2 linked regions of the Diceros bicornis minor genome follow. The main gene of each other region encodes a partner of the protein of the gene in region 2 in a complex. Links are inferred from orthologs where the notes say so. Each region holds a gene or a part of one and is shown on either strand. Other genes may lie near its edges.

The links.
Region 1: the proteins of FLT1 (region 2) and VEGFB are in contact, whole or in part, in a crystal structure (PDB 2XAC), measured with the Homo sapiens proteins. The link is inferred for Diceros bicornis minor from reciprocal best matches to the Homo sapiens genes FLT1 and VEGFB. Residues at the interface, in NP_002010.2 of Homo sapiens: Tyr139, Glu141, Pro143, Phe172, Pro173, Tyr199, Ile202, Gly203, Leu204, Asn219, Leu221, Arg224, Thr226; in NP_003368.1 of Homo sapiens: Ser37, Trp38, Ile39, Tyr42, Thr43, Thr46, Cys47, Gln48, Pro83, Asp84, Asp85, Gly86, Leu87, Cys124, Arg125, Pro126.

The regions. Positions count from the first base shown.
Region 1 is NC_080770.1:8,750,593-8,758,537, forward strand, and holds the start of VEGFB (vascular endothelial growth factor B), read right to left. Parts: upstream 3,014-7,945; 5' UTR 2,757-3,013; coding exon 2,697-2,756; intron 2,120-2,696; coding exon 2,077-2,119; intron 1,742-2,076; coding exon 1,545-1,741; intron 1,386-1,544; coding exon 1,312-1,385; intron 1,126-1,311; coding exon 1,090-1,125; intron 868-1,089; coding exon 654-867; coding exon of another isoform or gene 632-653; intron 40-631; coding exon of another isoform or gene 18-39; 3' UTR 1-17. Other genes in the region: DNAJC4 (dnaJ homolog subfamily C member 4), read right to left, coding at 3,395-3,503, 3,592-3,678, 4,339-4,503, 4,586-4,770, 5,258-5,351, 6,439-6,524; uridine diphosphate glucose pyrophosphatase NUDT22, read right to left, coding at 7,460-7,561, 7,860-7,945. UniProt on the Homo sapiens protein: Growth factor for endothelial cells. VEGF-B167 binds heparin and neuropilin-1 whereas the binding to neuropilin-1 of VEGF-B186 is regulated by proteolysis.
Region 2 is NC_080748.1:11,708,688-11,715,976, reverse strand, and holds the start of FLT1 (vascular endothelial growth factor receptor 1), read left to right. Parts: upstream 1-4,278; 5' UTR 4,279-4,563; coding exon 4,564-4,627; intron 4,628-7,289. UniProt on the Homo sapiens protein: Tyrosine-protein kinase that acts as a cell-surface receptor for VEGFA, VEGFB and PGF, and plays an essential role in the development of embryonic vasculature, the regulation of angiogenesis, cell survival, cell migration, macrophage function, chemotaxis, and cancer cell invasion.

The DNA.
Region 1 (7,945 bases), on a different chromosome or scaffold from region 2:
GTCTGAAAAGCAATGTGTCACCTTCGCAGCTTCCGGCACCTGCAGAGGAGAGGAAGGGGGTCTGTTTGCACTGGCAGAGCTCTGCCCAGCTCTAGACTCACCCCCTTGTTAGCATCTGGGAACCCCATTCTCTCCTAACACTCCAGGGAGGCCCCAGCCGGCCAGGCCCACATGATGCCACCCCATGGCCTCGCTGTGGAAGGGAGGGGTGGTGAGAAGCACCTCAGACAAGGTTCCACTATGTCCCCTGGCCTCTCAGAGCCCATAAGGTGGGACAAATGTCTACCACAGGGGCTTCTAGGAAGGCCCGGAGCTTTGCAAATTGGCAAGCTATCTCATTTCTACTCCAGGCAGATGTCACCTCCTCCAGGACATCTCTGGCCTCTCAGAGACATGTCAGGTTCCCCTTACCCCAGCCCTTGACACCCTCTGCTGGCATCACGTGTCCCCGTGTCCGACTCCTGCACTAGAACGTGAGTTTGTTTATGCTGACCCCAGTGCCAGCAGACACTGGGTAAATATTTGTTCAACACGTTAACAGCTTCCCCTTCCCTGGTTCTTCTCCCACTGGCAGGCTCACCCTGGCCCGGCTCCAGGACAGGCTGTGATGCCTTCCCGAACAACTCCTCACCTGCAGGTGTCTGGGTTGAGCTCTAAGCCCCGCCCTTGGCAACGGAGGAAGCTGCGGCGTCGGCAGCGACAGCGGCAGGTCCGGGGGTCAGGGCGCTGGCGGCGCTGGGGGCAGCGTGGGCAGAGGGGCCTGGGACTGGAGTGGGATGGGTGATGTCAGCTGGGGAGGGTGCTCCGGGGGCAGAGTCCCAGCCCGGAACAGAGCGGGGCTGGGGACGGTGGCGGGGAGTGGAAGCCCTAGGAGGAGAAGCAACATGTCTGGGGCGGGAAGGAAGAGTCTTCCCAGGGGCTGGGGGTGGGTCAGAGCACACAGCTGGGGAAGAGAGAGGGGGACGCCAGTGCGAGGAGAAAGAGGGGAAGGGACACAGCTTCCTGACACACTCCATGGCCACACGTTGTTACATCCTGGGCACTGGGCCTGGGCTCCAACCCACCTCAGCAGGAGCCCAAGAGACTCACCTGTCTGGCTTCACAGCACTCTCTTTTTTTTTTGGTCTGAAAAGTAAGAGACAGAGACGAGGAGGAGAAGGATGAGGAAAACCGGACATCCTACTCTCTTGCCCCAGATCCCAGGCCTACCCTGGCTCTACTCTTGGGACACCTGGTCCCCACTGTGTCCCACCATGCCAGCACCCCCCAGGTTTAGTCTCTGTGGGCTCCGAAGTGGGGCCTGGCTGGCACCTGCATTCACATTGGCTGTGTTCTTCCAGAGACATCTCCCCCAGCTGGCTGCTTGGGTACCGGATCATGAGGATCTGTGCTCGGAAGGACAGGGAGAGAGATGGTGAGAGGGACAGCGAGACAGAGAGAGGAAGGGATGCTTCATGAGCTGGAGAGAGAGGAGCTCGCCCACCAGCCAGGACTCAGAGCGCCAGCATCCACCCCAGCTGGGCACGCTCCACCTGCCCCAGTACCTGCATCCGGACTTGGTGCTGCCCCGTGGGCACACACTCCAGGCCGTCGTCCGGGCAGCAACCGCCGCAGCGCTGCACAGTCACGCAGCTTGGCACCAGTTGCTTGGCCACAGTGCCCATGAGCTCCACAGTCAGGGGCACGACCACCTCCCGTGGCTGACAGGTGGCACGGGCATACACATCTATCCATGACACCACTGGAGACAGATGCATGAAGGTTTAGTCCCACTGGGTTTCCTGCAGCTGCTCCCTACTTCCCCTACCCCGGCCCAGCAGCTGCTCTCCCTAGTTCCCATGTCACAGCCCCCCTCCACTAGCCCCCTCTGCCCTCCCAACTTGTCTTCCCTGCCCTGTTCATTCAGAACCCAGGAACCCCACTGCCTCACTGTCACCTTCTGTGAAATGGGCAGAATCAGAGTTTGCATCCTACAGAGCAGCTGTGATGACACAGACAATGGACACAAAGACCCTGGAATCAGGGCAGTGGCAAGCCCACCAGTGCTGACTAGTGCAAAGTTGTTGTTACTATTACCTTTCTTCTGGTGGCCAGGGGCATCAGGCTGGGAGACTGGGGCCTGTGGAAGAGAAGAGACCTATAACCAAGGTGCATCCTAGGAAGGGCTGGCCCTGTTGCTGTCCCCAGGGCTCTGCCCTTGGTTCAGGAGGCTTCACCTCCTCTTTGACATTTTTCCAGAGTGCTCTGTTCCTGGGGCCACTCTAGCCTTACCTGGCCTGTCCTGGCCACCTGGGACCTGCCCTGGCCCCAACCCGCCAGGCGAGCTCTGCCGGCTGCATCCTTCTCCCAGCCTGGGGGGCCGGGCTTTTTTGGAGGCCGTGGGTCGGGAGGGGGCACAGTGGGCACCGAACCAGCTTCTGCGGCGCCCAGCTCCTGCGGCGCTGAGGCGGCCCCGCCCCCGGCTGCGCCCAGGGGACGGGGTGGGACGGGGTGGGGCGGGGGAGTGGCCCCGGGGCTGGGCTGGCGGCGGGTGGAGAAGGACACCTCCCGGGGGATGCCCGGGCCAGGTCCCCGCGACGCCCCTGTCGGCGGCCGGACCCCGCGGATCCCCGGCCGAGGCCGCCCCGCGCCTCCCCACTTCCGCCAACCTTGAGAGAGGGCACGGCGGGCGGGCGGGATGTCGGGGACGCACGTACCTGGGCGGGGGCCAGCTGCAGGAGCGCGGCGAGCAGCAGCCGGCGGAGCAGGGGGCTCATGGTGCCCGCGGGGGCCGCGCGCCGGGGGCGCCCGCATCGCCCTAGCCCGGCGGCGCGGGGGGCGGCGGCAGCCAGAGCCCCATGGCGCGGGCCCGGGCGCGGCGGGCGGGGGCCGGGCGCGGGGGGCGGCTCCTCCGCGGCCCCCTCCCGAGCCCTGGGCGCAGGCAGCGCAGCGCAGCGCAGCGGCGGCGGCCGGAGGAGCCGGGCGGGCGGGCGGCCGGTGGCGGCGGCGGGCGGCGGCGGGGACGGCGGGGACGGCGGGGGCGGCGGGGGGCCGGGCCCGGGCTGGCGGGCGGGCGGCTCATGTGACCCAGACACGCGCTCCCCACCCGGGCGCGGGGCGGGGGCGGGGGGGCGAGGCCGCCGGCGGGGCCCGCCCCCTCCACACACCCCCTCCCGCCGCAGCGGGGGAAAGGGGATGCGCCGCCCAGGGGGCCGGGCTCCTGGGTCGCTGCCGCCAGATCCCGGAGGGCGGGGCGCTGTCCCGCGTCGAGGCACGGGCGGGGGGCACTGGGCCTGAAGGAGGGAGGTGGACACGAGCTCTGAGAAGCACTTTATTGCACGCGCTTTGGGGAGTGAAGAGTCCCGGTAGGGAAGCGAGGACGGAACACACAGCAGGCCCCGTCCAGGTGCGCGGCTCAGGGGCTGGTGCCCGGGGGCACGATCCGGGGGCTTGGGGGCGGCCCAGGCGATGGCTGCAGCGGCTGCCTCTGCCGGTGCCCCTGCTGGAGCCTGGCTCTGTTGGCCCTGCAGGAGAGAGCACCCGTGGGGGTTGGGACAGGGACCCTGGAGGGTGGTGCCAGGACAGCGAGGACAGGACAGAGCAGGGACAGACCTGGCCCGGGCCCGCGTGTCATTGTAGATGGCTGTGATGATCCGATCCTTTTCATCCATGAAGCTACGGTGCACCTGCTCCAGCTTCCTGCAAGGGGGTTACAGTTAACTCTGGGTCCTCCAATCCCTGCCGTCCCCACATCTCCCCCCCACCCCACTCTAGGGTCTTACAGCTCTACATCCTTGGGGACCTCAACCTAACTGCCTGTGCTAGGTGGGGAGAGGGGCACAGAGTGGCAGGGGCTTGTCCAGGGTCCAATGGCTATCCTGCTGAAGATGGTGACAGCAGCTCTGAATGTCAGGGTGCTCCTCGCAGGAGACTAGAAAGGGCTGTACATCTCACCCCATCACTGAATGAGGCAGGCTGCTCAGTGGACACTGGCCTTTAGGCATCTTTGCTGTAGAACCTCTGTCATGGTGTGCATGAGAGAGGGGCGGGGAGACAGCCAACTGCCCACCCAGTGAGTCACAGTGCATTGCCTTCTCGTGCCTGACTTTGGTCAGCTCCAGCACTCCCTGGCAGCCAGTGCCACAGATTTACATTCGAATTATAAAAAACTGAAAATGACATTAGCCCTTAGTGCCGAGCTGCCTTGCCAAGTAAGGAGAGGCTCCAGAGACCTATTTCATACAAGTCTTAGCTTGCGAGACACAAGAGTGTGGGCCACAGGGGTGGTGTGGATGGACGGCTGACCACACTGGGATTCCCCCTGCCCTCCACCCTCTGCTCATGACCCCAGGGGTGCACCTGAAGGCGGCGTAGTGCAGGCCCATGCCTGCCAGCATGATCAGGAGGCAGTACCCCAGCACCCGCTTGTTGTGTCTGCGCTGCTGCTGCCTCAACTCTGGTCCCTGAGGCCTCACGCCATGAAACTGGGCCCAGTACTGTGCATTGGGGGGCGCCCAGGAGCTGCTGGGAGGGAGAAGAAGCGACAGTGTGGGGATGAGGCTCCCCAGGAGACTTGGGGGGCAAGCTGGGGGCAGGACTACTATACCTGTGTGCTTGATAAGCAGACCCGGGATAGGGTGTGGTTCCTGGAGACCTGGGGGGAGTGGCTGACCAGAGCTGGTGGTCGTAGCTGCGGCGGCTCTGCTCACGGCTGAGCACCTGGTATGCTTCACTCAGCTCCACAAAGCGGCTGTGCAGGGCTGGGTTCCCGGGATCTCGGTCAGGGTGCAGCTGAGGTGGGCAGGACTCCCCTCATCTCCCTTTCCATGCCCCTTCCCAGGACCCATCCCAGTAATGTCTACCCACAAGGGCTCAGATCATTCCCAGAAGCCCCGCCTGGGCAGTGACCCTCACTCTCAGGCCTGCCCACCCCTCCAGAAGGCCAGAGAGTCAGGAAGCACAGACTCCTGCCTGCTCCCCTTGTTCAAGCCCTCCCCACCTGCTGCCTAGCTCTCACTATGTGCCCTGGTCCAGGCTTTCTCAAGAGCAGGCAAGTCAAGAGAACCAAGCCCATCAGACAGGGCCCCTGGCTCCTGCACCCAGCCTGTCCCCCCACCTGGCCAGACCTCTGCCCTTGGGGCACCTCCCACTCCCTATGCATGCTGAGGGAATGTGGCATCCACCAGAATGAGCCACTCTGCTCCATTCCTGGGAATTTGGAGTGCACCCCATCTGGCTCAGACTTCCCCTCCCCCTCCCCACCTAGGACCACTGGTACCTCTTTGGACTTGGAGAAGAAAGCTCGTTTAACTTCTTCAGTGCTGGCACTAGGATGCACCCCCAACAGTTCATAGTAGTTACTGGGGCCAGACCTGTGGAGAGAGGCCCAAACCTGTAGGGGCTAAGGAAACACAGAGGGTAGCCCTTCCCTGCCCCTCCCAGCCCCCCTGGGCCACACCCTTTAACTCAGCAGCCAGGACCTGAGGGGGCTGAGGCAGGTGTCAAGGGAGAGCTATCAGCAAACCATCCCTCCCCTCTTGAGTGTTTCGGGTATGGTGCAGATCAGAACGTCTGAAAGTGTAGTCCTCAGACCCCTTGCATCAGAAACACTTGAAAAGCTTGTTTAAAAAAACAGATTCCTTGGGCCAGCCCCGTGGCTTGGCGGTTAAGTGCTGCGCTCCGCTGCTGGCGGCCCGGGGTTCGGATCCTGGGCGTGCACCAATGCACTGCTTCTCCAGCCATGCTGAGGGCGCGTCCCACATACAGCAACTAGAAGGATGTGCAGCTATGATATATAACTATCTACTGGGGCTTTGGGGGGGGGAATAAATAAAAAAAAATAAAACCAGATTCCTAGGGGCCGGCCCGTGGAGTAGTGGTTAAGGCCGGCGTGCTCCGCTTCGGTGGCCAGGATTTGAGGGTTCGGATCCCCGGGCTCAGACCTACACCACTTATCAGCCATGCTGTGGCAGCGACCCACATATATAGTGGAGGAAGACTGGCACAGATGTTAGCTCAGGGCTAATCTTCCTCAGCAAAAAAATTTAAAAAACAGGTTCCTGAGCCCCACCTCTATTCCTGCAGATCCGAATCTACAGAGCAGGGCCCTGGAATCTGCATTTTTGTAACTCCACCCCCCACCCCCACCCCCTACCCGCAGTGGGTCATGCACAGTGATGCTTGCCAATCACTAGAGTTGTGAAAAGTGCATTGGGTTTGGTTTGGGCTCAAATTTCAGATCTGCCTCTTAACTCGCTGGACGACCTTGGGGGTCGTTCCTTAATGTCTGATCCTGTGTCCCCAGCAGTGAAGGTGAGGGTTACCTGACACAGCTTGTAAGGTGCCTGACAGAGCAGAGAGATCACGACTATCTCGGCACCCACGGCAGGGCCTAGAGCTGGGCAGGCCCTCAGCAGAAACCCACTGAACGACCGGGCGGGCCCCTGGCGCCCGACTCACCGCTGCCGGGCGGCCGTTGCGAGGAGCCGGGTGGGAGGGCTGCGGGGCCACGACCGGCACAGGCGCAGGGGCAGCAGGGGCAGCATGGCGGCAGGCGGGCGGCTGGGGAGAGGAAGCCACAAAGGAGTGCATTGGGGCCAGGATGGGCCAGACTTCACGCACTCCGGGGGCCGAGGGAAGGGGCCTGGCCCGGGTTACTTCCGAAGGAAAACTGAAGCAGGCCGGGGCACCCAGGCGCGGGTGGGGCTTCCTTGTTCAGGACCAGACCCCAGTGTTCTGGACCTGTCCCCTGCCTCTGACCCGGCGTCCAGGACCCTTCTCCACGTCGGCCTCCGCGTCTGGACAACCAGCCCTGGAAGCCAAGAACCCCGGCCCACCCGGGGAGTTTGCGGGGCGAGCCAAGGAGGAGCCACGACCAAGCCCCGCCCCCGCTGCGCTCACGGACTCCGCGGCCGCAGCCATTTCCTGTTCCTATTCAGGCCCCGGCCCACATTCTCATTGATTTAGGCTCCACGACCACGCCCACTTGCCCGGAAGTTGATGCGACGGCCCCGCCCCCGCCCGCCCATTGGCCTTTGGCGCCTCGGGCCCACCCACCGAGGGCAAGGTCCGCGGAGGTGCGGAAAGACGCGGGCGCCCACTGGGTAGGCGAGTGGGACGGAGGCTGACCCTCAGTGAGGCTTTCTGCCCCGGCGTCGTCGCCCTGTCCCGCAGACATGGCTGCTCCTCCGCTCTGCCGGAGACAGAGCAGCTTCCTCCCCATAGTTGGCCCACACCCTCACCAGAGCCTGGCAAGGGGGCACGGCCCTCCTCCCAGCTTGCAGAGGGGATACTGAGGCTGGGCTTTTTTTTTTTTCCCCAAGTCACTTGTCCTGTCTCTCTCACCCACCCAGGGCTCTCCCAGCGGCCCCTCTCGGTCTCACGGAAACAGCAGATGCCAGAGGAATCAAGTCCTTTATCAAGAATAAAGTCCTTTATTGTCTTCCGAGCTGTAGTGATTGGGCTGGGACCCTAAGGTGACTCAGGTGGGACTTCCCTGGACCCGGTTGTAGAGGAAGATGGCGCCTTTGGCCGAGGGGCAGAGCTCAGCCCACATTTCTGTCTCCTGCAACCTCCGCACGCTCTATGGGGAGACAGACCCAGACATCCCTCAGGTCTCCCGCAGGAGCTGTGCCCAGTTCCTGAGCCGCAGAGCCCTCTGTACTGCCCTGTCCCTAGGGAGACATGTCGAGGGGGCTGAACAGGTCCCTGGCCCTCTCCCTTGGGCTGAAGGCATCCCCAATGAGGCCTTGGGGCTCCAGAGGAAAGTTCTGAGAGATCTGGGAGCCTCCGTCTGATCCATCCCCAGGGGGCAGTCCTGGCCTCTGCAAGCCCCCACCCCAGCTCCTTGTCCAAGCAAGACACACGTTGCCACCTCGCACCTGTGTCTCCACAAAGATGATTCCCGTGGACTCGTGGGCCTCAGGTCCCCCACTCGTGTAGTGCTTCCTCACCTGCTCAGAAGTCA
Region 2 (7,289 bases):
GTATGAAAAAGACTAACATGAAATATATTAAAGTGATCCTGGTGGCGATGTTGTGATGATAGAATTAGGATTCATCCTCCAGCCCTCTCCCCATCTTTTCATCTGTCTAAAATGTTTTATAACTAAAAGAGTGTATTGAAAATAACACAATACTTTTTCAAATAAGAGAAAAAGTCAATAGCTGACAGTTATATGCTAAGATAAAATTAACTTTCTGCAAAATTGTTAATTATAATGATTAGATGACCATTATCCTGATTTCCTTAGCCAACTTCTTTTATTCTGTTTTGCCTTTTCTCCTGCCCCAATCTTCTCTAATTATCTCAGTCTGGACCTTTTTTATTTTTTTTTTTAAAGTTTCCTGGAATACCTTGAATAAAACTTACCTGTCTTATTACTCTTGCTGGGACCGTCAATTATTCCTGAATATTGACTTGGTAAATGTTAACAAGATCGTATGCAACCTCCCTTGGTGAACATACGTCTAGAGATAATGACACAGAGAATACTTTGGTTTACTCAACCACTACAGATCCCTTCATTCATTCATTCATGCATTCATTCATTCAGCTCAGTCCTAGTCAATGATTTTGATGATGATCCAGAAGGAACATTTATCATATTTGTGGATAATTTGAAGCAGGAGATATAATAAATGCACCGAATGGCAGAATTGGAGATCAGAAAGATTTCAAAAGGCCAGAAAGAAGGATTAAATCAAACAAGAAGTTTAATAAGAGTGTGTATAAGGGTCTGCAATTTGAGTTGTCAAAAGCTGTGGCTGTACAAGTATAGCCAGATCACAGCTCTTGTGAAAGAGCCTCAGGGGTTTTAACTAAGAGCAAGTTCTCTAAGAGTCCAGGGTGTGAAGTAGCCGACAGAAAAGGCTCCTTTGATCTTCGGTTGCAGTAACAGAAGTATAGTGGCTATGTCATGGCCCCTGGGGAGTAGAAGGAGGTTCAGGGCTAACTAGGAGTCAGAGCTGGGGGACACAGCCTCAAAACTAAGCTGAAACCCTGAATAAATCAAAATGAGATAAACAGCAGCAGTGTCAACCTGCGGGAGGAACAGAGAGCCAGGCACACAGTGAAGCTTCTGGAGCAGAAAGGAGGGGAGGGAGGCTGTTCACAACCAGTGGCCCCTAGGGAGCTCCATCAGAACTCAGCGTCTGACAAGTTAAACCATAACTGTGCCTGCCTGCTGAACTCCACAGAGCTTGCTACATGAGGTTTGTGAGTGTGTGCGTCTTAGATCAAGGAACCTGCACTGTCAAGTGCATGTGTATTGAGGGGTGTTTTTTCCATACAACACAGAAGGTTTTATAAGATCATTTGGTTCTTGTAGCCAACCATACATATTTATGCTATGCAGTGTGTAGCCATGGAGTATATTTTTTCTTTGTTCTGCAGCTCCCTGACCCACGTGGGGATGAAATTTCTCATTGAGCCCCAGTGACTGCAAGCTGAGCAGCTCCACGCTTGGTCCCCTATGGGAAGATGAGGCCCTGGGGTCCCACCGGTCTCTCACACTGATGTTCCCACACTGTTATCCAGTCTTGAATATTAAAGCTGTTGGTTTTACTAACAGTGTGCCTCTGAATAGGGACTAGAAAGAATCCTCAAGAGAGTGTTTGCAGCTGATAACAGGAGAGAGTGTCTGGTTTTGCAGGAGATGAAATGTTCTTTTGTATGTGAGCAGGAAGCAACAGATAGTCTACTTCAATAGCTTTTTATACCCACCAGGCATGTTGAAATTGATCTTTTCCATCACTATTATCTATAAAACCTCTTTCGTTAGTGATTTAGTTAGAAGAATGCTGTAGCCCATTCTCATTCAAAGGTATTATCTCTTTTTGGAGGGAGAGTTGAGAGCCATACCTTTATTCTCACATCATTTTAGCTTAGATATTCACTTATCTAATGCTAAAATTTATCTAAGCTAAAATGAAATCAGGAACAAAACCTTGTGACAACTTGTAGCATCTTGAGTTCTTTGTGAGGAGAAAAGACATTGCTGAAAAGACATTGCTGACTATAATTAAAAGACTGCAACTTTCAAAAGAATAGTTGAGGAATTTGTGGAGGACCACTCAACGCAGAATGATTTTGGTATAAATTAAGTTAGATTCAACCATGATTCTTTTAACCTTGAATAATTGAGCAATATGTTAGTATTGTTGACTGGCATCTTAGACTATGAAGATTGTTTTAGCTGTGCAGCAAATACCTGTTCTGGCTTCACAAATAAACTCGACATAGGTTCATTTCTGGCAGCAGGTATGTGGAGTGTTGTCCGTGTGTTTAAGAATCAAATAGCATTTGAAAAGTTGTATTATTAAACTTTTGTAGGTTTTACTATGGACCACTTTCCCCCAGAGTCAGCGAAGTGTTTCTCCTGAGAAGCCATCCTGAACTCTGGGGACTGACCTCCTCTTCCCTGGGCCAGTGTGGACCCAAGCCCCCCCCAGCACCGTGATCCTTGCACTGTATTGTCATGGCCTCTTTACACGTCAACTTTCTCCCCAGATTCTAAGCCCCTTAGAAGACATCTCCCCATCACTGTGTTTTTGGTCCTAACACAGTGTCAGGCCCTGTGAGGTGCTACAGAAGGGCAATGCTGATAGCTTCTCCTTGGGAGAAAGCGCAGGAGTGACCAGCAGCTCTGAAGTGAGGCAGAGGGGCACTTTGGCTCTCCGGTGTGTCCCAGACTATGACCTGGGCTCAGGGACCAGTTGGGAGAAGAATCTGCTGTCAGCGTCCAGCCCTGCGATCCCTATTCACCAACTGTTCACGGAATGATCCTGTTGTTTTGGAGGAATCAGTCTTGAGGGAGGCAGAGAAACGGAGCCAAGGAGAGTGGTGAGGAGCATTGGAAAAATAGAAAGGGCTGATGAAGTTGACAGGCGAGCAATGACTGCGCGGTCTCCCTTTCTTCCGAACCATAAGGGGCTATGGCTGAGGTGCCCCGGTCCAGGTGCGCGGACGTGCGCTTCCTGCGTGGGGGAGCCGGTGGGGGACCTGTCCTTGCTCTGCCACCCAAAGGTGTGGCAACTTCGGGTTGCCCAACTTTCCTAGGTGGGGAGGTAGTCTAGTCCTTCAGGAAGGGGCTGTGGCCCGTTTGGGACCATCACAGTTCCTTTTATCATGCCCGTCTGGAGGGCACCTATTGAACTATTTTTCAAACCAGCGATATTTACAGAGACAAGACGAGGCTGCTCCGTGGAGCCTAGGACGATTTCAGCCTTTAAGATAATGAAAACATAATTGAAGAACAATGCGCAATCAGTGTCATCACAAATGATCTAGTGCCTCAAATTAATTTCAGCGGGTTTTGTTCGAAGAGCAGGAGAGTCACTCATCTTGCGTAGCAAGCTGCCATAAGAAAGATTTTTTAGAGCATTTGGGAAATAAAGTTCAAGTGCTCGGCCCTTACAAGTTGCAGGAGCAGTTTCACGCCTCAGCTTTTAAAAAGGTGTCATCATGTTATTCCTTGTTTTGCTTCAAGGAAGCTAGGAATTTAGGAAACGACTTGGGCGGGGGCATCTATGTGGCCGAAAAAGACTCATACACACTCCCCAGGGACCTGAGCGGTTCGCTGTCTTCCCGAAGGTGCCAAGTAAGCGTCTGGTCCCCTTGGGTGCTCCAGGTCCAGTCCCCCGTGCCGAGGGTCTCCGGCGCCATCCTAGACGTCTGAGGACAATCGGGGGGGCGGGGGCGGCTGGACAGCGCGGGAAATGCAAGAAATGGGAGGGAGCCGGACTGCGCCGGTGCCAAGGACACCGTCGCGGAGGCGCGGCCAGCTTCCCAATGATCGGACTTTCCGCCCCGGGGGCCGGGTAGCGGAGCTCCAGCCTTGTCCCCCTCCCAGCTTCGGGCGGCCCCCAGGGCTGAGTAAACCGGGCGGAGGGAGCCTGCAAGGATTTCCTGCGCACTCTGGAAAGGAGGAGGGGACGGAGGCAGGAGGATCGAGAGCAAGGACCCTGAACCTGCCGGGGCCGCGCTCCCGGGCCGCGTCGCCAGCGCCTCTCCACGCGAGCTAGCTCTCAGCCCCGACGCGCGCTCGGCCCCCGGCCACCCGCCCTCCGCGGCCCCCGCCCCTCTCCGCAGCCGTAGGGAATCAGGTCCCGGAGGAAGAGGGTAGGTGGGGAGGCGGATGAGGGGTGGGGGACCCCTTGACGTCACTGGAAGGAGGTGCCGGGGTAGGAAGTGGGCTGGGGAAAGGTTATAAATCGCCCCCGCCCTCGGCTCCTCTTAATCGAGGTCCGCCGGAGGCTCCGAGCGCGCCGGACGGACACTCCTCGCGGCTTCTCCCCGGCGGTGGCGGCAGCGGCAGCGGCTCGGAGCGGGCTCCGGGACTGGGGCGCAGCAGCCAGAGGACGCCAGGCTGCGAGGATTACCCGGGGAAGTGATTGTGTCCCTGGCTGGAGCCGCGGAGAGGGGCGCTTGGGGCGTAGCGCCGGAGCGCGGGCCGGGCGGCGGAGCGCGAGAAGACAGGCTCCGGCGGCTGGGTCGTTGGCCCGCGAGGAGCGCGGGCACCGGGTGAGCAGGCCGCATCGCGCTCACCATGATCAGCTGCTGGGACACCGGGGTCTTGCTGTGCGCGCTGCTCGGCGGTCTGCTTTTCACAGGTGAGGCGCGGCCCGGGCCCGGGGCTGGAAGGGGCCGCCGGGGGGCACACCCTGTGGGGCTGGGACCGGGTGCAAGCGGGGAGGTGAGGCTGCAGCCGCGAGAAGCGAGCCTCGGTAGGAACCTCGGACACTAGTTGCAGTGGGCACGCCTGGGGCGGTGGCGCCCCTTCTCCTCCGCTGAGCAGTCAGTGTGGGCCCTCGGAGAGCAGCAGGCGGGGGCCCGCGCGCATCGCCGCCCTGAACAGCTGCTGGCGCAGCGCTCGGGTCCGCGCTGGGGCTGCCCCTTTGCGGCTGAAGTCGCTGATCCTCTGCCTGGCTCCCGGGTCCGGTCTCCCGGCCGAGGCTCCTGGCTCGGGGCGCACCGCGCACCTGGACCTGCTTGACACCCAGAGCCTGCTCCCAGGCGGCCTGGCGCGGGTCTGTGGGGCCCTCCGGAGCCAGGATCAGCGGCTCCTAGAACGCCCGCGAGGCTACCCGGGGGCTGGGCTGAGGCCGGGACGTTGGCGATGTTGGGCACTGGCCACGACGTCGCGCCTCGAGAGGGAAGGAGGAAAGCCACCTTGGAAGGGGTCGCGTGCTTGCCGGGAGCAGACGGATCCCAGGAGATGGCAAACGCTGGTATCCTACCCACTTCGGGCCCCGGAGCCCGACTGTCCCCAGGAACGTTCCAGGAGCGTCCACGCCTCCCCGCCGCTCGTCTACCGCGGGGCTGAGCGCGCTGCGCGCAGCCACCCGGGTGGGGCCTCTGCCGCCGGTCCAGCCCAGGTCGCCGACCTAAGTGAACCTGACCGACGAGGGCAGCCAAGGACCCAAATACTGTTAAGTTTCTGAATGGCAAGCCTAGCCTTTAAATTCCGAGAGAAGAAAGGGACGAGGATTTAGACGAAAAGATGCGGCTTGAGGAATCGGTGAGGTCCGCCCCTTGGCCGGGCGTTAGAAAAACAGGCTGCGGAACCATGGGCAGCCAGGAGGTTACACCCGCCGTCAGCGTGGAGGCCGCCCCGTCGAGGCGTCAAAGCCCGGGGGGATTTAGGGGCTCGTCCTTGCCGTTTCTGCCCAGCGGGGATGAGTGGCCAAGCCCTCTGGTTCAGGCCCCCTGGGCAGAGAGAGCCAGATTTCGGAGCGCCTTTCTTTTAAGCATCGTGGAGAAAAGGTAAAATATGAAATAAAACAGTAACATAAATTATTGCAATGATTCTCGGGAAGGAAAGTCAGTAGGGTTGAGCATATTAGGAAAAAAAAAAAAAAAAAGCTTGTTAAACCCAAAAGTCAGTAACAGTGAAATATTCTTTCTCAGTGGGAAGACTAATTAGAAGTTTTAAAATAACTAGTAATAGTTCCAGTTAGGTTGGTAAAACTATTAAACCGAGAGGCAAGGCGAAATCGTAATGTCTGAGGACTCGCTATCGTTGGGAAAGTTGCTAAAATAACTATATTAAGTGGAATATTTTCTATTTCAAAAATACATATTTTTTGTTTTGAAATGTCGCTTATATTGAAATATAATTGTTTAGAGCATTTAAATAACTTGCTGAAGTCCATGCGTCTGTTATGTAAAGGTAAATCGAGGTCAATTACTGTGAATCCAAAAAATGGAGCGAAAATGATTGGATTTTCTTCTTCACACATACGTCTTCATTTTTGTTCAAAAACGTGGTTGACTAGTGCAGGATAGTTCTGTTATTGGGAGCAACTTAGATCTGTGAAGCCTTGACACACGAGTGAGATCTTGTGATTTCTCTTAGATTTTATTTTATTTAAATGAGGCAGAAATCGTGGCGCTCTTTTGTGACTTTTTAAAAAATTTACATACATGTGATAGAAAGAAAGCAAGATAAAATATTGGCAAGGTGAGAACTCCTTTACCTCCGGGTTTAGAGAATGTTCTATCAGCGGTTGGGCTTTGTAGTTCCCTTTGCACACCACAGGCTTCTCCTGCTGATTAACAGACATCTCACAGTAAAACAGCTACCTACTTTCTAAACTGCATCAGAGCTTTCAAACTGAACGAGGGGCTGCATCTCTGGGGAGTGGTGAAAGGGGCTGAGTTTCTGTCTGGTGGATTTATCAGAAATCCACTCTTCAAGGGCGCTCATGGGTGGGGTCTGCTCACCTGCAGGTGCTATAAGGTCTTTGAATATTTATCAGTTATTAATATTGTGTGTGTGTGCACTGAAGTGTAAAATAACCAGAGGTTCGGTAATACAAAAAGATAATGCATTTCTCCTAAAGAGTATATTTACCTTCTTCCAAATATCCTGGGGGAATAATAAGATGCTAGTAATTCAGACACTTTCAGGAGGACTTGAAAGTCCTCTATGTTGAGGTCTCTGCCTCTGTGAAGGATACCAGTCCTCCTTTTCTCCAGCTCAAAGTCTCATTTTCTTAATTTTAAGGCACCACACCCTTGATTAAAGCCATGACTCTTTTTTTCTGGCCCATTTTTCCTGTATTTTTGAGCAGCTGACACTTACAATTTGCTATAACTGGAAATACTTCACTTGTGAATTCTGTGAAGGAAGTCTACACTAATAAAGTTAAATCAAGATGTACGTGAAAATAATAGCCATTTCCAAATTGAATGTAATGTCTTTCATAATAAAGCTAATTTTACATAATAATTTTTAATTGTTTTTCGTTGTTGTTTTCTCCAAGGTTTATG